Arabidopsis thaliana: one gene and its partners. The protein of the gene in region 1 purifies or fractionates together with the protein of each later gene. This does not show direct contact. Each region holds a gene or a part of one and is shown on either strand. Other genes may lie near its edges.

Evidence for each region.
Region 2: the proteins of AT5G48570 (region 1) and SIRANBP fractionate together in Arabidopsis thaliana (co-fractionation; one large-scale study listed by BioGRID). This does not show direct contact.
Region 3: the proteins of AT5G48570 (region 1) and RANBP1 fractionate together in Arabidopsis thaliana (co-fractionation; one large-scale study listed by BioGRID). This does not show direct contact.

Annotation. Positions count from the first base shown.
Region 1 is NC_003076.8:19,690,244-19,697,464, forward strand, and holds AT5G48570 (FKBP-type peptidyl-prolyl cis-trans isomerase family protein), read right to left. Parts: upstream 3,603-7,221; 5' UTR 3,414-3,602; coding exon 3,206-3,413; intron 3,127-3,205; coding exon 3,040-3,126; intron 2,817-3,039; coding exon 2,556-2,816; intron 2,448-2,555; coding exon 2,373-2,447; intron 2,304-2,372; coding exon 2,223-2,303; intron 2,140-2,222; coding exon 1,942-2,139; intron 1,853-1,941; coding exon 1,757-1,852; intron 1,655-1,756; coding exon 1,479-1,654; intron 1,395-1,478; coding exon 1,272-1,394; intron 1,195-1,271; coding exon 1,048-1,194; intron 960-1,047; coding exon 832-959; intron 759-831; coding exon 653-758; intron 554-652; coding exon 503-553; 3' UTR 218-502; downstream 1-217. Other genes in the region: AT5G48575 (mediator of RNA polymerase II transcription subunit-like protein, putative (DUF1216)), read right to left, coding at 4,222-4,305, 4,370-4,579; FKBP15-2 (FK506- and rapamycin-binding protein 15 kD-2), read right to left, coding at 5,913-6,028, 6,133-6,237, 6,325-6,415, 6,522-6,584, 6,850-6,899, 6,995-7,061. UniProt on the Arabidopsis thaliana protein: PPIases accelerate the folding of proteins. It catalyzes the cis-trans isomerization of proline imidic peptide bonds in oligopeptides.
Region 2 is NC_003070.9:2,190,560-2,197,780, forward strand, and holds SIRANBP (Pleckstrin homology (PH) domain superfamily protein), read right to left. Parts: upstream 3,278-7,221; 5' UTR 3,130-3,277; coding exon 2,975-3,129; intron 2,855-2,974; coding exon 2,703-2,854; intron 2,597-2,702; coding exon 2,471-2,596; intron 2,055-2,470; coding exon 1,801-2,054; 3' UTR 1,120-1,800; downstream 1-1,119. Other genes in the region: AT1G07135 (glycine-rich protein), read right to left, coding at 1-65; MAPKKK13 (mitogen-activated protein kinase kinase kinase 13), read right to left, coding at 3,720-5,219.
Region 3 is NC_003076.8:23,678,143-23,685,363, forward strand, and holds RANBP1 (RAN binding protein 1), read right to left. Parts: upstream 3,794-7,221; 5' UTR 3,573-3,793; coding exon 3,421-3,572; intron 3,292-3,420; coding exon 3,140-3,291; intron 3,053-3,139; coding exon 2,927-3,052; intron 2,407-2,926; coding exon 2,177-2,406; 3' UTR 1,921-2,176; downstream 1-1,920. Other genes in the region: PMR5 (Pmr5/Cas1p GDSL/SGNH-like acyl-esterase family protein (DUF828)), read right to left, coding at 5,802-6,138, 6,234-6,392, 6,466-6,644, 6,727-6,898, 7,176-7,221.

The DNA of each region.
Region 1 (7,221 bases):
CGTTGGATTTGTACACTAATTTTGATAGTCCCGTCAAGCAGTCACCGTATAGCTAGGTCAAAACCATTAAACTAGCACATATAATATAATTCCATCACAAAAGGTTTTCCATATTAATTAGAGCTTCATCCATCAAATCAACATATATATATATATATATATAATTATTGAATATGTAAAGTTGAATATATATGATGATCACACATTTTTAGATATTCTGAATATTGTTTCTATATTAACCTAGATTTAAATATTATTAGGTAGATAGAACTTTTTTGTTTTTGAACAATAGGTAGATAGAACATAACTACTAGATATGATATATCAAGCTATTGGGGTCATTAACTTGGAGTAGATCCTCGTTTATTACAAGTCTGTTTTATAACAACTCTGAAACAGTAACACACACCAAGATTGATTACAAAGAGTAAAAACAGAAATTTGTAGACTTTTCACATTTAGTTTTTGGAATCAATGCGACTCTCTAAAGTGATTCAAAGACTCATGCCTTGGTGTCAATACTCATCGCTTGTGCTTCCTTCTGAGTTCCTTTCTGCACAATCACAGTTCATACAAACCAGAATATTATCAGCTCAATAAAGCTTTCCCTATTTTTACCCATTGAAACTCTCCTTTTTAAGAAACTACTTACGTGTGGCTCAAGCATTTTCGACAACATGTTGCTGTAAAACTTAGCATCTTTCTTGTTATACTCTTTCACCTTCTCCTTCAACTTCTTATATTCTATCTTCACCTCCCTGTGCATACCCATGTTGGAAATTAGAATACATCGCAACGAAAAAAACAAAGGACCAATAGAAAATTACTCACTTGTTGTCTGGATCGATTTCGAGAGCTTTCTTGATATCAAGCTCAGCCAGATCAAGATCCGCCGTCTCCAAGTAGGCATGTGCTCTCCTATACATTGCCTTCACGTTCCTACTATCCATCTCCAACACCTATTCACATTCGTTTCATTCACTACTTAGTCGTTCATCTCCAATTGTAATATCCAAAATTACTGAAACTGAAATGTTTTGTTTTTACCTTTGTGGACAATTTTGCTGCTTCCTTGTAATCTTTCAGTTTCAGCTTGCAAGCTGCATCATTCAGGTTACAGGCAATCTTGAGATCTTTTGATTTCTTTTTCTCCTCTTCGTCGAAAGTTGAGTCATATTCTATATATTTGACACCCTGCAATCAAAACTTGATGTTAAAATCTAAACAAAAACATAAGTTTCTTTAGCAAATACTAGGACCAAATCCCAAACCCTCTCGTATCTCTTTGAAGCTCTTGCGTATTTTCCAGCTTTGAACAACACATTGCCTTCTTCTTTCTTCTTGCCTGCAGCTTCTATCCTTTCCTGTGTGTTCATATCCCAAGACTCTTTCTCCTGCATCAAGAGAGACGATATCATTAGCACACTTAAGTTTCTTCATAAAGAAAGAAACAACACTCAGAAAGTGAATCCTCTCACCTTGATGAAAGATACCAACTCGACCTCATAGTATACAGTCGAGTTTGGCGGTATTACAGCCAGCTCCTGTTTTGATTCAGAGGAACCAAAAGCATATTCCGGTGAAATTGTGATGAGTGCTACCTCACCCTTCTTCATGCCCATCACAGCTTTTTCAAGCCCTTCTATCACTTGTTCTGCACAGATCACCAATCCTCTGTCATTTAATATCATAGCCGTGAAATGTCAAATACAAAAAGGAAACAATATTCCAAGTTCTGTATATATGAATATTATACCTTCATCAATCTTGAACTCGAACGGCTCCTCATCTTCTTCATGACCTTTCTTCACAAACACGGTTGTTCCATCTTGAAGTTTACCAATCAACTTCACTGCAACAAAAAACTCGTTGTCAGATCACATAGCTTAACCATAGCGTAGAGGAGGTCTTCAGATAAGACCCTTAAAGATAGATGCTAACATTTGACAATCGCTCCTTCATTGGGACGCTCATATCCTTCTCCTTCCTTGAGTATTTTCTTAATAACCTTCCTGTCATCAGTTACTTCCACCACAGTCTTCCAAGAAACCAACTCAAGGTCAATCTGAAGGGTTGCATTTGGTGGGATTGCAGCTTGAAGACCATCAGAAGCTGGTCTTCCAAATTCCCCAAATCCATCTGTACAAGTCAGAGTGTCACACATCAATCTAAATTCACTGATTCATCGCTAAATAAGGACAAACACCAAATAAAATACTCACATTGTGGCTTCACAGTCAGGAGAACCTTCTCCCCTCTTTTCATGGTTTTGACAGCCTTAGAAAGCGCAGGACAGAAATGGCCTATTACACGAGAAGTATTTAGATCCTCGAATAGCTAATAATATCCGGTTGAGAAAAAAAAATACTAACCCTCCTTGACAGTAAACTCTACACCATCAGACTTTCCAACAATGGTGCCATCCTCAAGCCGAGCTTCATACTTGACTGCCACGGTACCAAACCATAAAACAAATCAGAACCAACAACATCGACAAGACTATATTCCAGCACAAAGAATCAAACCAAAATCATAGGAAGACGAAAAACACGCACCGTAAACTTCATCAAGGTCTTTTGGCTTCTCCCATTTTTCTCCTTCCACAATTATTTTCTTAGACACACCACCATCACCACATATATCCTTAACACTCCTCCATGCTATCAACTCCACATCAAACTGAAGAGTAGCGTTCGGAGGTATAGTCGGCGGTGAACCGGTTTCACCATATGCCAGCTCAGGAGGAATGGTGAAAATAGCATTTTCACCTTTCTTCATTGTCTTGATCCCCAAGTCCCATCCTTTAATGACATGTCCTGACCATTCCAAACCAAAACAAAATTCAGAACTCGAAAGACACCGTAATTAAATAGTAACTATCGATCAAAACAAACTCTCAACCAAAACTTCTCTCACAAACCGGCCTCAAAGAAGACAACAGCCTTAATATGATCCTATAATATTATCCGAATCCGAAAAAATCCGATCCAAATCCGAATACATAGGCCTCACAAATATTGTTGCAAAATAGAAAAGTACCTTGGCCAAGAGTAAATTTGAAAGGAGTTCCTCTGTCACGGCTCGAATCAAACTTGGTACCATCTAACAAAGTTCCAGTGTAATGCACTGCAAAAGAAAACACAATCTGAGAACCTGATTCACACATATATTATCATCAGATCAGACTTCAGCAATTTCAAATTACCTTCAACTTCGTCACCGTTCTCAGGCGTGTCCCATTTTTCACATTCCTTAACAAGTTTCTTCTTCAATCCTGATTTTCCGATCTCCATTTCCTCGCCGATTTTCAGATAAGGAGCAGAGTCAGCTTCGTCATTGTCGGGGAGATCCATATCCATCTCCTCTGGCTCCTCTTCCGGAAACTGGTTCTGCGTGTCGAAATCGTCTTCCATTTTCTGATCAAATTTAAGAGAGTGAAATCGATAATCACGAGAGAATTCTAGAGAGTGTGTTGGCAGAGATGAGATGGTTTGAGAAATTGTGATGAGAATTTATAGGGGGAGTGAAGAAAGAGTGTTTTGGGGTTTTTCTAGAGACTTCTGATTTTCATTTGAATCCTTGAGCCTAAAGATGTGTCCCGATGTTTCCAGATACTGACTGTTAGCGTGATTTTTATTTTTATTTGTTAGAACACTTTTTATTTTTCTTTTGAGCGGGTCTCGTTAATCTAAAATTAATAAATTAATTTTTTAAAAACACACAAGTTTTGAATCATTTTAAATACTTAAAATTTAAAATTTGATTATAGAAGCATTATTTTTGTGACTAGATTTTTTTTTATTATTCTAAATCAAATAATATTTTATTTTATACAATTTACTATTCATCATCCTTGACTAATAAAAATTAAAAAGAGCATAAAGACTTAAACGATTTATCTTTTTGAAATATCTATAGCCGTGGTTTTATTTACAATAAACACAAAAACTAAAATTATTAGCTAGTTAATTGATCTGTATTTCGTATGGTTGGTTCAATTTTTTTTATGATTTGTGGCTAACTAGTTTATGTATAGTTATGCCTTTGAGTTCAAGTTGACTTGATCTTGCCGGGAGAAGAGGAAGAAGTTGTAGATGTCTCGCTCTGAATAGCGGTCTCAACGAATTTGGTTGTGACTTGTTCCCACTTAGTGATTGTCTTCTTAATCTCTGTTTGTTGTGCCGTTGTGCATGTCAAATACCCATCTTTCTTGCCTTTATTCTAACTTACTATTCTACTATGGATGGTTTCTAACTCTTTGATAGTCTTCACTTCTTTTTGGTAAGTTTCCATGGACTGCTTCACCTATATTGTGAGTTAGAAGAACATGTAGCAAGTAACAACAGAAAGAGACGTATCTTTTTTGTACCTTTGCTGATTTGGTTCCAATTCTTGACCGCATAAATGTCATGTCATCAGATAGTTTCCCAGCAGCATATTTGATCGTAGAGAAGAAACTTTTTTTGCTTTTGGGAGAATTCTTTGAGCGTGCAGCCATTATACCCTTGAGTTTCTCAAAGAAGACCTCGTATTCCTCCTTTGGTGGACACTTTTTTTCGAGGTTTATTATGAATATCATGACTTCTTTGGAAGTCTCAGCCTCAACTTGTGTCAATGTTATAGCGTTTTTCTGAGTTGCTGATCCAGCACTTCCACTTTCAGTAGGACTAATGGAGCTTCCACCAGTAGTGTCCGTAAAGGAAACCCCACTGCCAGAAGGATTGCTCGTAGGACTTCCACTAGCACTAGCAAGCTTCTACCGGTAGTTCAGGAACTACAGGAATGCCTAAGTTAGAGCCTGAACCTGTAGTGTCTGTGAAAGCGCCTCCGCTAATGAAGCTACCAAAGCTTTTGCTATTATCGCTAGAACTTCCTTTTCCGCTTGTAGAACTTTCCATTGAAAAAGAGTTTGTTGTGTTTACAACAATTGTGTTTGTGATCCGAGTAATAACCGTCTCCATTTCAAGATCCCTTCTTTGATTTCTTTTTGATGTTGAGCTGCTAGCTTCATGGATTCTTCGCTCTCCTCTTTCTTGCGGCTACCTATAATCTTTCCCGCCTCAGTTCTCATAAATTTAAAGGTATTTATGACATCCATTTTCTCTTCTTGAATTTCTTTCTTAATCTGTTATACATATGCAAGATGAAGTAAATAAAATGTTTCATTAGCCATACATTTTCACCTTCAAGAAAAGAATGTATTTCGAAGTAAATTTGAATTTACTTGTCTAGTTGTCTTAGAACATTCTTTCTCGAGGTCCGACACAAAGACCATCACTACTTTAACGGTGCAAGGCTCTACATCCTTCACCGTTTGCGGATCTGGAATTTGAGGTAAAGATGGCTTAATCTTCAAGTGAGCTGAAACAATGTCCAGAAGGGACACAGATACAAAAAGAATGGTGAAGCATAACAACAGCTGAACTCATGCCATTATTCTATCTTGTGAGAAATGAAGGTTGAAGAAATTTATTTATTTGTTCTGCTTTCGTAGATATGTTTAGTGTTCAATGTTTAGAATCATTGATCCACTGACCATTGAGAATTTGGTGGATTGAGGTCAAAATAATAGCAAAGAGTTTCACAAAAGCATTGATGGTAAACTTTTGTATTTTGCCATTGTAGTTGTCTTTTTTTTTTTGTAAGACGACACTGCCTAAGATTTTTCTTGACCCCTCTCATTCTGCGCATAGATCACCATTGAGGTCGCTAAGCCGTACTGTGTAATTTGCTTTGGCTAACTAATTGAAGTTGAGCCAATTATGAAAAGAAAATGTTAAATATCACCATAACAATCATCTGCAGTCTTTACGCCTAAAAGCCAAAAGACTAGAAAAAACCCTCCCATAGATGGTTTCTTTGTATTATCCAGAGAACTCTTGAAGCAAAATCGTTAAAGAACGGAGACCGGATCATAGCTCGTCATTTCCATATCCCTCATCATCTTCATCCCCTCCGTATTCTTCACCACCAGCTGGTTTTTCATTTACCGCAATAAGCTCTGTGTCAAAGATCAGTGTTGCACCACCTGAAGTTTGCAAGGTTGTTTTTAGTTATAATGTCGAAATCCCGTATTTTTTTCACAAACATGAATACACATTTTAAAAGCTTATTGATGAAGCGTATTTATACCGGGGATAGTAGGTGGAGAGCCTTGTTCTCCATATCCAAGTTTAGCAGGTATCTTTAACTTCCTCTTCTCACCTACACACGCTCCTAGCAAACCTTGATCCCAACCTGCAACAAAACCGAAAATTACCATTGAAGGAATTAAGAAAATGTTAAAAGAAAAGAGATACTCAAAAGCCAAAAGCAAGTCACTACCTTTGATAACCTGACCACTTCCTAATTTAAACTCAAACGGATCACCCCTTTCAAAACTCGAATCGAATACAGTTCCATCAGTAAGTTTCCCCTGCCACATAACAACACTAAGTTACACAACAACAAAAACAACAATAAACATTTCTTCATGACAATAATGAATCCCAATTTTGTTATAAGATCTAGCAAAAACTTACCCTATAGTGCACCTTGATCGTATCACCTTTGTGAGCCTGAACTTCACATGTTTTTGGCTTAAACTGCAAAAAAAAGAAACTCTTTATTATCTCTGAATCCAATCAAGAACCCTAAGTATCTTACAAATTTGTTGACAAGATCACACTTGTCAAATCCAAAAGACTCCAACTAAACCAAATGGTCAAAAGACAAACCAAAACAGAACACAGCACAATCAAAACCAGATCCAAATTCACATTCCAGAAAACAACAATGAATAAACCAATATTATAGCTAGAAACAGTATACGAGATCGTTCATTTCCTGATCGGAAAATATAAAAATTACCTTGACACCGATCTGCAATTCCGACACATCTCCGGTCTTCTTGGCAAAACCTATAAACAGATCCAATTACAAGGAATTAGATTGGAAACAAAGAGATCATGATTTTAGCACATTCAATAATGAGAAAGAAAGATGAATGGAGAACCTTGGAGTGAAATGAGAGAGAAGAAGATCAAAAAGAGAGAGTAACGGAGACTCATCTTGCTCGCCATAATCGCTTCTCAGTTCTCACTCTTCAGTTTTTTCCTTTTCTTCAGTGTATAGAGGTAATCTTATTGGGCCTAGGTAGGCCTGTGGGGTTCTGCATTTTTGTAAAAGCCCATCTTTTATCTCTACAAGCAAAGTTGAAAATTTCGGTTTAAGAGTTTTATC
Region 2 (7,221 bases), on another chromosome or scaffold:
AGATTGTGCTGAAGATGAAAGATGAAGAGAATGTACAAAACCAACCATGTTCTTCTCAAACCCATTTTCTTTATCTTTTCTCTTGTTTTGTCTGTATTATATCTCACTTTCCCCTTTGATCTATTTATATAAGCCTCAGAAAGAAATTAAACGCGGCAAAAGTGGTTGCCAGCAGTTTCGACGTAGTCTCTCATTATGATGCTGCCACGAAAATATCCAAAAAAGATTTATTTCTTTTTTAAAAAAAGAAATATCCAATAAAGATTTATTATACTTATCCATATTTATATTTATTGACCTTTGTTTTAAACAATATAGATTTTATGAAGGAGCACACAAACTAAAAAAAAAGTAAGGTTAATTAGGAGATAAGTGTTTCCAGATGTCGTGGATGGAAAAGAATTAATCCATCTAAATTCATTTCTGGTATCATGTTAATGAAAAATCAGTTAGATAGCAAATAGAATAAAAATGAAGGAAATAAATAGCATGATTATAAAAAGGTTTGGCCGCGTGTACAAGTTGACTGTCAGGGTCAATTTTGGGTTATAGAGCAAAGAAAAGTGGACCATATTGATGACAACTTTCACATGTCTACCATTCTTGATTTTCAGAATTTGAATCTTTTGATATGTTATATTCCCTAAATATTTATCAGGAAATATCTTATTACAAAACCTGATATTTTCTGTCAATTTGTTTTTTTTTTTGTAAATTATTTTTTAAATAGCACACAAATATTAATGTGTTTAAAGTTAGAACTCAAACCAATTTATTGCGATTTTCTTAAAGAAGTTTAGATAATAAGACCTAAAGTGAAAACAGAAACTATTTTCTTCTTTTTAGGGTTTACATATATTAAATTATAAGTAACCTGTCATCTTTTTAGTGAATAATCAATTTTTTTTTCCATAAAAAAATCTTACAAAAAAAAAAAGTTGACATATTTGAATTTATCCAATTAAGGGGGTATAATTCAATCAAATTAAAATTTAAAATCCAAATTTAATAAAGTTTGAAATCCAAGCAATTCATTGTTATGTTTAAATATGGTGTTATAGGAATGGTTTATATGTTTGTATTATTCCAAATTTATTTTAAAAGTGTTATAAATTTAATAAAATCTTAACCTAAGCATAATCCATTGTTATTCATTCACATATGGTCTTACTGGATATGATTTATATAAATCATGCTTTGGTAATTTTAGCACAGTATAGTACAATGTCATTTTTTTTCCGTGAACAGTTCGTTATAACTGAAGAATTTTATGAATACTGTTAATATACATTTTGGATCTTTATCAGGGTCAAGACTAGCATCGACTAACACAAGAGAGCAAAGTAGATTGGCAATTACCTTTTTTTTGTCAAACAATTGGCAATTACCTTAAGATTAAAAAATCACATGCATTAAATTTTGAAAAAAAAAAAATGGAGACTTCTGATTCTTGTCCATGGACAAACACATTTGTATCCTCAAAATAAGACCATCCAAAAAGGATCCATGAGAAAACTTAAAACAATGAAACCAATGTACTCTTTCAGATAACCAACATGAAAAAATATTTCACCCAAATCTCTCATATCACCCGACACTTTAGACTCAAAAACTATTAGACCCATAACGACTCAGCATTCAGTAAAACCCGACCCCAAGCGATCCCCCAACCACTTGATATGACTCGACAAAACATGTATAGATAGATAGTGCCAAGACAATGGTAGACTCATGATGCATCAAAACATTTCGAGGCTTAATTACCTCGCCAGGATTTGGCAACTTAAATGATGACGCTTCTTATGTTGAGGGACCACTTTCTTCTGTTTTCTTTGCTTCACCAGATTTCTCTGCCTCGCTCTCTTTCTTTTCTTCTGCTTTCACTTCAGTCTTTGCCGTCTCCACAGCTTTCGCTTCGGTTTTCTCCTCCGTTTTTGTCTCTTCCACAGTCAATTTCTCAAGAAGGCCAGCAGTGTCAGCGGCATCTTTGCTCTCTTCTTTCTCTTCTTCAGACTCAGCAACTTCCTTGAACTTTTGCATAAATGTTTTGCAATCTGACAAGGAAAATAAGATTTGATTACCCACAAGCATCTCTACTTTTCCCGGTTAATATGATCAACAGCTCAGAAACTACTGATAATATTTACCCAAAATAAAAAAAGAAACAGTCGACCATGTTGGCATATCAAATTAGTTGCAGCCTAAATACATACTTGACCACCTCAAGAACAATATTATCTCTTTACAATGCAATACCACAACCTAACCGCCACAGTACTTATTTTGATATTTCCTGAACCCAATAACGCATGCCTATGATGGAAGCTTTGAGAACCTCCAATTAACAAAGTAGCCATATAGCAATGCTAAGGTCAAGATCCATCAGTAATCTAATCCGTGAATCTATCAAACCAACTGAGACTAAATAAGGCAAAACACAAGCCATTACAAAATTCGGTTTCATACTCACTCTCAATAGAAGCAAATCGGATACAGAAAAGCTCATCCTTGAGTTCACCATCAGCAAAGTCACGAGCGTGCCACACACATGACTTTTCATTCCCAACGTGTTCCTGAACACTCATGCCCGATTTAACTGCAGAAATATCAGAAGCATAAGACTAGATAAGGAAACAGTAACCTAAATACAGATCCAGATGCAACTCAAAAACAACACAAAGTAGTCCAAATAGAAATTATACCGAAGTGATTAGCACAGATCTTCAAAGTTTTAGATTGCCTCATAACGAGACGAATCTTCCCAGTGTTCTTATGCTTTAAGAACTTCACAGTACCAGCTCCTCTCTCCTTCCACTGATTCGCATCCTTATCGAATCGATAAAGCTTCGATTTCCTTTAGATTCACAAACAAAAATTCAGTCAAACACACCAAAAGCTAAACCTTATAAATTCGATCAGATCCAGTTGACCTAGATCAGAAAAACTATAAACACCAATTAAGAAAAACACTTACAGATCAAGGACGGCATCTTCGTCTTCCTCGCCGGTAGTGACGGCAACCTCCTCAAGCCTAACGATCGGAGCGACCTGAGCTCCGGTGTCCTCATCCTCGTTAGCTCCGGCCTCTTCCTCGTCTCTGTGCTCGTGCTCGGGTTCGTTGGTCGCCATAGTATTTACTGAGATTTCCTCGTGGATTCAATTGGTCGCTACGGTGCGGCGTACGCGAGAGAGATAGAGAGAAGAGAATTTGGGGGTTTCGCAACACAGGAAATCGGAACGACTCATAGTTATACGGCGTTGAATTGAAGCTAACTATGGGCCGATTTCTTATGACAAAAAATATATATGGCCCATATAAACCCATTGTATCTGGGTTATTTTTAAAGCTATTTATCTCAAGGGAAATTAATCCTTTTTTAGAGAAATCTTAATGATTTATAGCATAGAGATTAGAGAAAAATCTTAAAGATCGAAAAAAGAATATGATGATATGCTTGAGCTAAACTCTATGTAACGACTTCGTTCAGTTTGATACATAATCGTACATGCATAACCTTGGTCCTTCAGGCCTAGTCGAAACAAACAACCATCTTCAACCGGTCCGGTTCCCTCTATGATTCATTTAAATGCTCCAAAATCCGAATACTTATTAGGATGAATCAAAAGTCTTCTAAAGCATAAAACCAAAGTCTCTTTTGGCCTCTTGAGTCTTCCACCAGCTTACGAACCAAAACCATTTGTCGCAATATTTTTTCACATTAAAATACAACTATTTGGCTGTAAACGAGAGTTATCAATATAAGGCAATGGCTCGTAATTAAGACACTCGATCTCATCTCACCGCGTAAAAGATAGTTTTGTCCGATCCGAATCACATGTGCAAACAAACAAAACTTGAGGCTGTGATTAAAAGACAACGTTTCGAGTTTATTGCTTTGATTATACTGATACAACAAATACATAGTGAGAACAATTTCCCTAAAGATACATGTAGTATAAACCATAATTTCCATTAATAAATGTAAAACCACCACAAATTCATATGGCAGCGCCGCCGCCGATCCCCCGTTTCCAGGCGGTAAATTCTGAGACATAGAAACGTCAATTATCGCCGAGTCACCAGCCACGTCATCGTTTGGATCCGATGATGTGTTATATTCCGATTCTACCCTTGTGGATCCCGAATATTCCATTGTTGTCCCTTCCTCTTCCGAAGCGTGGCATCTAACTTCCACCCAACCATCTGACTCCCAAATTACTCCTCCGGTCGTCGCCAAATTACAAATTATTGCCTTCGCCGCGTCTTCGAATTCTGATCTCCCTACTTCCTCTTCTTCTTCTTCTAAGTCAAACCCCGAGTTGACCCAGTCAAGTACGCAACGCGGAGATGACTCAGTCGGAGATGAGTTGTGACACTGAGAGAGAAATGGATGCTGCAAAAGCTGATCGCAACTCCACCTCTGATTCGGGTCTCGCTTCAGACACTTTTCTAGGAAATCACGGCCGATTTCCGACAACTTCGAGGGGAAAACCGGTAACTCGTCAGAGAAACTGATTCGACTCAGCGAGTCAATTCCGTGGTCTTCCCAAGCGGGTTTCCCAGTGAACATCTCGATGATCGTGCAGCCGAGAGACCAGACGTCACTCTCCGGACCTTGGTACTCTCGTCTGATCACCTCCGGAGCCATCCAAAGCGGACTTCCACGTGGCGTGATCAGAGCCCTCGGTGTGTGGATTCTGAACGCCGACCCAAAATCGGCTAACTTGACCATGGAGCTTTGGCTGACGAGGATGTTCCTCGCCTTGACGTCGCAGTGAACGAATCCTTGAGAGTGTACGTGGCGGAGAGCAGAGACAAGACACGCCGTGTAACGCTGGAGCAGAGTCTCGTCTTCGATTTTTCCTCCGGCTCTGTGACTAGCCACGTCACCGTTTGGGAGATACTCTAAGTAGAGATTCCTAAACGTCGTCGTTCCTTCTTTCGAGACTCCGTCGCCGAGAAACTTCACGATGTAAGGGTGAGGCTTTAGCGAGCGGAAGACAGATATTTCGTTCTCGAGAGACTCTGATTGAGTGGGGAGACTCGTGGCGAGATCCACGGATTTCACGGCGAAAACTTCACCGTTGGTTTTGCTGATCGCCGTACTAACTGCACCGAAACAACCTCTGCCGATACACGCACCACGAACCCAAAAAGAAGATGGTGAGGATAACATTAAAGAAGAAGAACAAGTGTTTCTGATGCTCTGTTTCTCCATGTGTGCCAACTTTCATATGTCGTACTTGTGCAACACGAAGCTATTTATATGCGTGTTTTGGAACTGCAAAACAGAAAATGTGAACGTGAAATAAAGTTGCAATTTTTTTTGTTTCTGACATGGACTATTCTTGTACACTTGTCTTTTCGATTTGTAAAGTCTCATCTTTGTAAAATTTCCCACGTGGATATGTCATGTACAACACAAACTTTCGAGTCTATCATTAGATTTTTGAACAAATTATACCATGTTCGATGGTCGGTTTGGATTTTAACAATTTTAATTATATATACATCTATTGAAATCTAGACTTAATCCTTACAAATTTTTTACTTTTATGGAATGATTAGTCGTTTTGAAAAGAGAACAAATAAATCAGAAAAAGGATCATTTTAGAAATTAGAAGAAAATGTTTTATGTCACTCCTAATGACACTTGGAGAAGTTCTTGGGATGTTTTTAAGAAACAATGCACTTGCCCTGTCTCCTTAATCCTTATCCACCAAGACTCAAGTTGCGGTTTGATCTTGTCCGCTAATATTTTACTCAGCAAAGATAAAATCACACACACCCTCTAGCTTCACGCAATCGTTTTCGTTTTTATAACCTCAACATTTAAAAAATCGTCTCTTTACTTAAGTGATCGGATCACCGATCGTGGAGAAGACAAATGAACAAAAACGTGCCTATAGATTTGGAACGCTTGATTTATTGACTTATTTCTGGTATGTTTCTATTTGGTTGACCTGAAGACATGATCAGACATGGAATATACGGTAGTCGACGTACGTACAAATCATTATCAAGGATTCATGAATCCAAACCATGTCTTAGCCAATCATAAGCAATGGACATAAATTAATTTATATTCGTCAAACAATTAACATAAAGAAGGTGAGGGTGTACAGTAACAGAATATATACGCGAAGTAGATGATATCCGAATAAATTATCGGAGTTGTCAAAGGGGTTGGAGATGAAGGAAGAGGTTGCCGAAAGGGGTTGGGTTTTAAAAATGGGGGTCCATTTGGAAACTTACGTGGCATGAAGCGGTTGGCTCACGTTCTTTGACATATTAACGAGTTGTCTGAACACACATATTGGGAATTGACGTGCTTGATCAACCTCCACGCATAGTGAAAATATTATATTAGTTTTTATTCTTTGTTTGGTTGGGATCATGAAGGAAGCACAAGAATTTACTCAAAAACGTTATCCAAAGATATCACGGAGATCGAGTTGAAGATGGAAGGTAGAAAATAAAAGATAGGGTTTTAACTTTTAATTGAGGAGATCGTTGGTTGGGAATTAATCTTGGGATGGTTAATAGCCAGATCACTACAATAGTATCTTTCTTGGGATTTATAGTGGGTTGGTAGTGGTAGAAAGATCAAAGTTTTGATAACATATCAATTTAGTGTTTTGAAACTACGATTGAAGTTTGGTCAAAGCTTGCTAATGATTTAGCTAACCATTAGAATTCGAACTTTTATGCATGCACTATAATCTTTCTTTGATCTTTGAATTATTTCAAAATACAGAAACCTTTCTTCCATTAATTCCAAAAGAAAAAAAATGCCGCCGCAACTAAATTATATATGTACTTTGTTTGTTGTTTCTCTGGCCAAGCTTTGACCTTCCGCGAACGTGAAGTGCTATTTGAACGGTCCACCACTGCTTCCATATCCTCTTAGGGCAACTAATTTCACCTTTTATATATGTGTGGGTGAATAAATTACTAGAAATGTCCAAAACATAAGATATTATTTGAAGATTTTTAGGACCCATACCATATTTTCCAATTTGCATGTCTAGGAGAATCCACTTGGAAAACAACTTAAGAAAATGACATTGCACTATGTACTTAATACCGTACTAAACTTTCAGACTTTTCAATATTTTATAGGATTAAGGTAATGGCTAAGAGCCTAAGATATTTATGAACTAACGTAGTTAAGAAATACGCGTCCATATAAACGTAAAAGTAAAAAACTTTCAAAACAT
Region 3 (7,221 bases), 4.0 Mb from region 1:
GGATTACATGCATAATCATTGTTTGGAATATTGATGAAATGTGATGTGTAGAAGTACTTGAAAAGAAAATTATGGGCCTTTGTCTTTTAGTGTGTTGTGGTTGCAACCAAAATAATAGAGTTTAAAAGAAGGGTGGGGTTTGTTTTGTATCTTTATAACTACATTATGAACCAATCTCTAAACATATGTTGATATATATACTTCCATAGATTTTTTTGTGTGTTCTATATATATACTCGATTTTAGGTTCAACTTCAACACATGACCTTGTCATTAAACAAATTACATAATAGTCTTAATACATCAAGTAATCCTGCGTTCCTAAATTGTCATTAGTAAGATGAAGAACTATATAAACAAATGAGAATCAGAAATGGGTAATAATACAAGAGAAGTAGGTAATGGATGTCACATGAAAGTTAGCTTAGAAAAGAAGGCAAGTAGGGTGAGAGATCGGAAGATTTTACGTGAACATAAAGCAAAAGTAGAAGACGAGGAACGCTATGCAATTTTTTCATCAAAACCTCTTTACACGTTTCTCTATTAATCAAATCTTATACTACTACTTTTATTCGTTTTTCTTAAAAAGCATATATTATAGTATCATATCATCTATACCTGCGACATATATATTCGATGTGCGCAGGACCTAACCACGAGGAGCCGAGGAGGGTCTTTGATGGTAAATCTTCAAAACTAAGTGACTCGTCAAGGCGACGGAGGGAACAAATCCCCATGATTCTCTAAAATGATAATTTTTTTCACTTCTCAATATTATAGACTATAGTACTAAAGAATAAAAGAATAATGCTTCCTAAATTTCGATTAGCTTAAGGGTCATTTAAGAGTTTTCTTATATTTTTGCATTATTCACATAGAAGTGCAGGTATTGTACTTGAGTGGTATAATAATTGTTTGTCAAACAGGTGCGAGAAAATGACTTTCCATGAAAATGGCAGTCATGGAAATAATAAGAAAGATATAAATGTAGATAGGTGAGGGGGGGGGGGGGGGAGAGATTTGGAGTCTATAATAAGAACTTTATTGACCAAAAGTGACTCTTCTTCCCATAAAATAAGGATTGCAATTGCAGTTGCCAACACCACAACACTACTCCTTATTTTGGGCCTTTATTTTTCCAACTTCCAAGCATTTAGCCTTCTTTACTTCTTTTTGACCTATTTTCTTTTGTTCCTTGTTGGTCATGTTGTAACTCTTAGCTTTATGCGTTCAGTTCCTTGATTTGGTTTGGTTTAAGCATTTTGGGTTCTTTTCACTTTTGAGAAATGAGTCGGAGTTAGAAAACCACATTTTATTTTGGTTTTGGTTTGGATATAATCGTATAATCATATAAATATAAGTATTCTTGCATATAATTAACTAAAATATGATTTTTAAAAAATATGATTTATTATAAAAGTTTAGTTTCGACTTTGATGTTCGGTATTGTTTGTTTTTTTCGCCATTTCTAGTAAATAGTAATAATATAGTTGTGCTACAAATTGTAGCCTACAATGTACAATTGTATGTAAGAAATAGTTGGCACATACATCAAAGTATCAATTATCATACATCCACTTACTAGTGCTATTGTGAAGATAAACGTTTAGAAAAACACATACAAGGGTACTTAGAAATGAGGCATAAAAGATAAAATCTGATATTCAATGCAGGAACAGCTCATGGTCAGAGGAAATTAAATGGTGAAAGAGAGATAGAGAAGTGCTTAAAACATGGTGTTATTTGTGGTGGAGCCTTTCGAATTATAGGTTTAGGGTCCATACAAATTTGTTGGGTCCAAAATTAACTAACTAGTTTTTACTTCTTAGAAGCACCACATGATTGTTCCCTTTGCTGCAACACCAAACATGTCAATTACAGATTGTGTAACCTGCTGGCCACAAATCCATTTCGGATGATTGAAGATGAAAGCAAGGATACTAATTTGATGCCGAATACTATTATCTTAAACCAAATTGACACAGTAAAGAGACGACACAATAGTCAAACACTTACACAGCAACAACATAAAAAAAAATCTTAAGATTCTCTTTCTCTAACACAGCGCAAAGACTCAAACTTTTGAAGCTACCATCATGTTCAGTGCCAAGTATAATATATTAAAATAAAGCAAAGCACACTTAGTGATGCCAACAACCAATTTTAATTTGATCACTTAAGTGCTTGCCTCTGTTTTCTTCTCTTCTTCTACCTTCTCCTTTTTTGTTTCTTTATCTTCCTTTGCAGGCTCTTTCTCTTCTGCTTCCTTGGCTTTCTCCTCACTTATATTTTCCTCAACCGAAAGATTCTCTATTAAACCAGCAGCCTCGTCGCCCTGGGTGCTCTCTTTCCCTACTTGCTGGCTTTCAGCTATTTCAGTGAACTTCTCCATAAATGTTTTGCAATCTGTTGATGCAACACTATCAGTTAGCCACTCGAGAATCTAAAACCAAAAAGACAGATGCAGACCCTAGGATATTAATCTCATAGATTATGTCAGCGTCTAATTTAACATAGATACGATTATGGTAGTTGTTTAGCACAACTTAAGGATCATGGAACCCTTTTGTTCATTTGTTTAGTGATAAGACCCACAACCGCAGAGACCAACAGAGTCTTGGAAAATGGCCTGAGATGTTTATTCTCAAGACAACAATGTCTCCCTAAAATTATAAAATGAGGCAACATTATAAGTATTGCCACTACAAAAGCAGTATTCCATTTCAGTCTTGAGCTATCTATATGGACTTGATGAATCACAATTCATGGGAGACTTAAATCATCACAACTAGAGTCTTATAAAGAATACCTTCCAAACCATCTTCCCTGATTCAACTATCATAAATTAAACATCGAATACTACTAAATGTACCCACGTTACTCTCAATCAAAAACAAGTATACGAATTTCACAAGTATAAACTTACTCTCAATGGAAGCAAATCGAATGCAGAAAAGCTCATCTTTCAACTCGCCGTCGGAGAAATCAGTAGCGTGCCATAAACAAGACTTTTCATTCCCACTATGTTCCTGAACACTCATCCCAGACGAAACTGCATAATTTCAACAAAAGATACATAAAGTTTAGCCCTTTCGAAGAAAAAAAAAAAAGATCTTCTTCGAGAGAGAATCAAACATACTGAGGTGATTGGCACAGATCTTTAGGGTTTTAGATTGTCTCATAACAAGACGAACTTTTCCAGTTTCCTTATGCTTCAATAACTTCACAGTTCCAGCTCCTCTCTCCTTCCATTGGTTCCCTTCTTTATCGAATCGATACATCTTCGATTTCCTACAAAATCATAAACCCAGAAGAATACATCTTCTATCAAAAATCCGACACTCATCTTCTATCGAAAATCCAACACTCACTTTAACCAGAGGCAAGGAAACTAGAATATTAACGGAACGAGTAACATACAGATCGAGGACGGCGTCTTCATCTTCTTCGCCGGTGGTGACTGCAACCTCTTCAAGCCTAACGATCGGAGCTACCTGAGCTCCGGTGTCTTCATCTTCGTTGACTTCGGTTTCATCTTCACGGTTCTCACGCTCTGGCTCAGTGCTCGCCATCTCTGTATTGAAACTTGAAAGTGTGTGTGTGTGCTCTGCAACTTCTTTGGTTGTTCAATTTGGGAGAAGAAGTTTCGAGAACCAGAAGAAAAAACTGGAACCAGGGTTTTTAAACTTTATATCCAAAGTTAGGCTTCTGAATTATCTCTAGTGGGCTAACAGGTCATTATCTCGGTCATTTAAGCCCATTAAGGCCCTATACGACAATTCATGATTTTGGTATGTAGATGAAGCTAGAAAGTGTGAACTCGTATCGACAATATAGAGGATGAAACATCATGGCTAAGGAACGCCACAGCTCAAAGACCTGTAATGAGTAATGTACCATATTTAAATTATGTATAATCTCTTTACAAAACTAAAAGTAATACAGATACTCCACATTTATCTTGGAGTAGAATGTAGATGATGCTCTATGAATGTACTCCATCCTTAACACATACGAAAAAAATTTGAACTGCTTTTTTTTTCTCAGTCGTGGACTGCCTTTGTAGTGTTAAGGTAGACCACCGTGACAATCTTTATATATGAACGGAGGTGGATTATTTATTTATTAATTTTTTTTTTTTTGAGAGGTGGATTATTTACAAATGGATATTATATAATGTAATCAATCATGCTTTGATATCAAGCTGATGTCACTCGACACTAGTATTCAATCAACTACTGCCGATGCTAGTACAATGTAAGCTGAATATGAACATTTATAAATTTTGGAAACGTGTTAAACATTCAATTAACAAATTTTTTTTTTGACCTGTTTTTTATCGTAACAAAATACCACTTGTTTGCCTTCTCGTTACAGTAGGAAAAAGAAACGTTTTCATTGTCGACGACTCAAAGAGTAGAACCTGAAGTCCGATAACAGTCGATAGGTAGTAAGATATTTTGACCAAAACATCGTGAATTTATTGAAATGCTGAACGAAAACTGATACAACATCATTTCATGGACTCGAGAACTCTTATTACTGGCACGGTAATATTGAATATTGATGCTAAAGTCAAAAGGGACCCGCTTAGTCATTTGTCTGATTTCCAATTTTAAAATCCGTTTTTGAATGAAGCTGCGTTGTTTCAATGACAAATCTTCGTGTTTGTATAATTTAGGGTCTGAAATAAATAGTCAACAAGCAAAACCCAAAACGATATGAACTGGAAGGTTGTGTCAGATTACAAATGAATCATCAAAGGGATTAAAATCCTCAGACAGGGATAACTGTTTTTTCATATTTGTTCTCATCATCCACAATCTAATTTCATTAAATCAAAAAGAGAAAACATAATTCCTTAGAATTCAAAGATTAGCCTCAGCAGTCCTAGTCAAGAAGATAGTATATCAACACACTTATTGAAATTTCAGTAACCATTAATATCTAATCTTCATCAGCCTCTTTATCAGATTAAACAAAAAAACATTAACCAACAAAAACAAATTGAAGTTGTTAAATCATATTAGAAAGAAGAACTCAGTCCCTTAGATGTTCATAATAATGCGATCATTACCGCAATCATTACAGGTCTGTAAACTGACTCATCACTGTTCTTCCAAAAACTTATACAAAAACCCAAATCTAGATTTCAATACGAATAATATATAGCTGCTCAGTTGTGATTCTCCCAAATCAACATCAGCAAAAATCGTATAAATACGAAATCACCGAAGATTCATAGGGAGAATTATATAAATAACGAAAGCAACACGATTGATTTTGCTTCAAGGGAACGAATCATATGGGAACGAACAAATCCACATAGACTATCTGATGAAGCCAATCTTTCAATAAACATAAATCATGATAATCCTAGACAAAAGGCAAGCCCAATAACAACAATAGAGAGAACACCAAACCCTATGAAAACTACAGGATTAAAAACGAAGCTTTTCAGTGAATTGATTTTGGATTGCTTCTTCTTAAACTCTAAAGTTGGATTTCCTCTATTTATAGTAGAGAGGTTTTGAGAAAACCCTAAAAGGCTTTTTTCCAATAAGCCCATCGAATGTATTTTTTTAAAAGCCCAATACTGTTTGTTTTGGGCTTGCCATTGTTAAATTTCTTGTTACTATGCTTTGTTTGCATGGAATAAAAATTATAATTCATTTGAAAGAAAATTTCCTCAAAAAGTTTATACAATTGACTGATTCCGTGATTAATCTTAAGATTCTCTCTTCGAATGTGTTAAAATATTACTAACCGAATAATTTGATGGAAAGAGATTTAAAAAGAAGCTAATAGATGAGAAGCGTATACAACAACTGGTTCCATGTATCAGGTAAACCAGGCAAACACCAATGGCTACAATCTGCAGACTGGTCTGGTCTAGACCTTTGTGAACCGCTAATGAGGCCGCTGTATACTGACGGATGACCGTCTTTTCTTAGGGAAGAGAGGAGTGTTATGTCGAGAAGAAACGCCGGATTGTGCATCCCGTGAAGCACTTCAACAATCACTGATCTTAGCTGATCTGTGTAGGAGCTCACTGGATAAGCTGTTCCTGTGATCGGTTCTGTTTCTCCGTAGCAGTTCTTGGATCCTGAAGACGATGATGCCGCCCAGTCACTCGGGCTGATCAATCCCAAAATGTATACAAATGGTGTCAGGACATTCATTTCAAAAACATCAGAAAATATGATCCAATATAACAAGAGAGGCTGAGTTACTTGTCGTGTGTTGGAGAAATGGAGAGGAACAAGACTTGTGTTCGGGATCTATCAACGTGAGTTTCGACCCAATACGCCCAAGTACGAAGTGCTTTCTCCATTGCCACAAAACGGTCCATGTCTTGGTAATAAGAATTGCCTGATTGAATCAAGTCCCATCTGTGTTCACAAGAAGATATATAAAGAAACTTTCACACTAGAAAATCAAGTCATTGGAAGTGTGGTAACTTACCCTTGCATAGATCCGGTGTGGCTCCACCAGTGACCAGTGTTGAAGATGAGGAGATCAGCGTCATGCCAAGCATTGGCATTACCAGAGATCTCATCCAGCTTCAACACACGCTTGCCTTGAACAGCATCTATGTCCACCAAGAACGGAGCTTTGTAAAATGACATTGTTATCCCATAATCCTATACATCAAAAAACAGTTTTCTTATAGAAGAACCTGAAAAACAAGATGTGAGCCATTGAAGAATAAGAAGAAAGCATTACCAAGAATCTGAAGGTGGAGAGAGGCAAGCCTCTGGTCATTTCTGTCCGAGTGGACGGTGCAGATGAAACAATAAGGCAGATCAAAGACTCCCATTGATTCTTCCCCAATGAATCACCCGCAAACATTATGGTTTTGCCCTTCATTTTCAACAGAAACTGAGCACCATTGAACCTAATCCATTTGTGAAAGACCAGAAATCAAACACTAAAACCACAGAATCTCTGATTTTGAGCAGTCGTAATATCTTAAAGTAGAATTCTTTCAAATGGGTTTGCCAAAAGAATACATTTTGACAACTTAGCTCAGTAAAATTCTGACGAAATCGAACCTCATTACCAATAACGACACAGGTATACACTATTACCAGAAAACTCAAAGATTTAACCACGAAAATTAGAAAACTTTATGACAAAAAAGAAAGAAGAAGAAGATGAGTATGTGTACATACGTGGGTAAATTGCAATTCTGAGGTTGCCATCGATACTTGAGGTAGT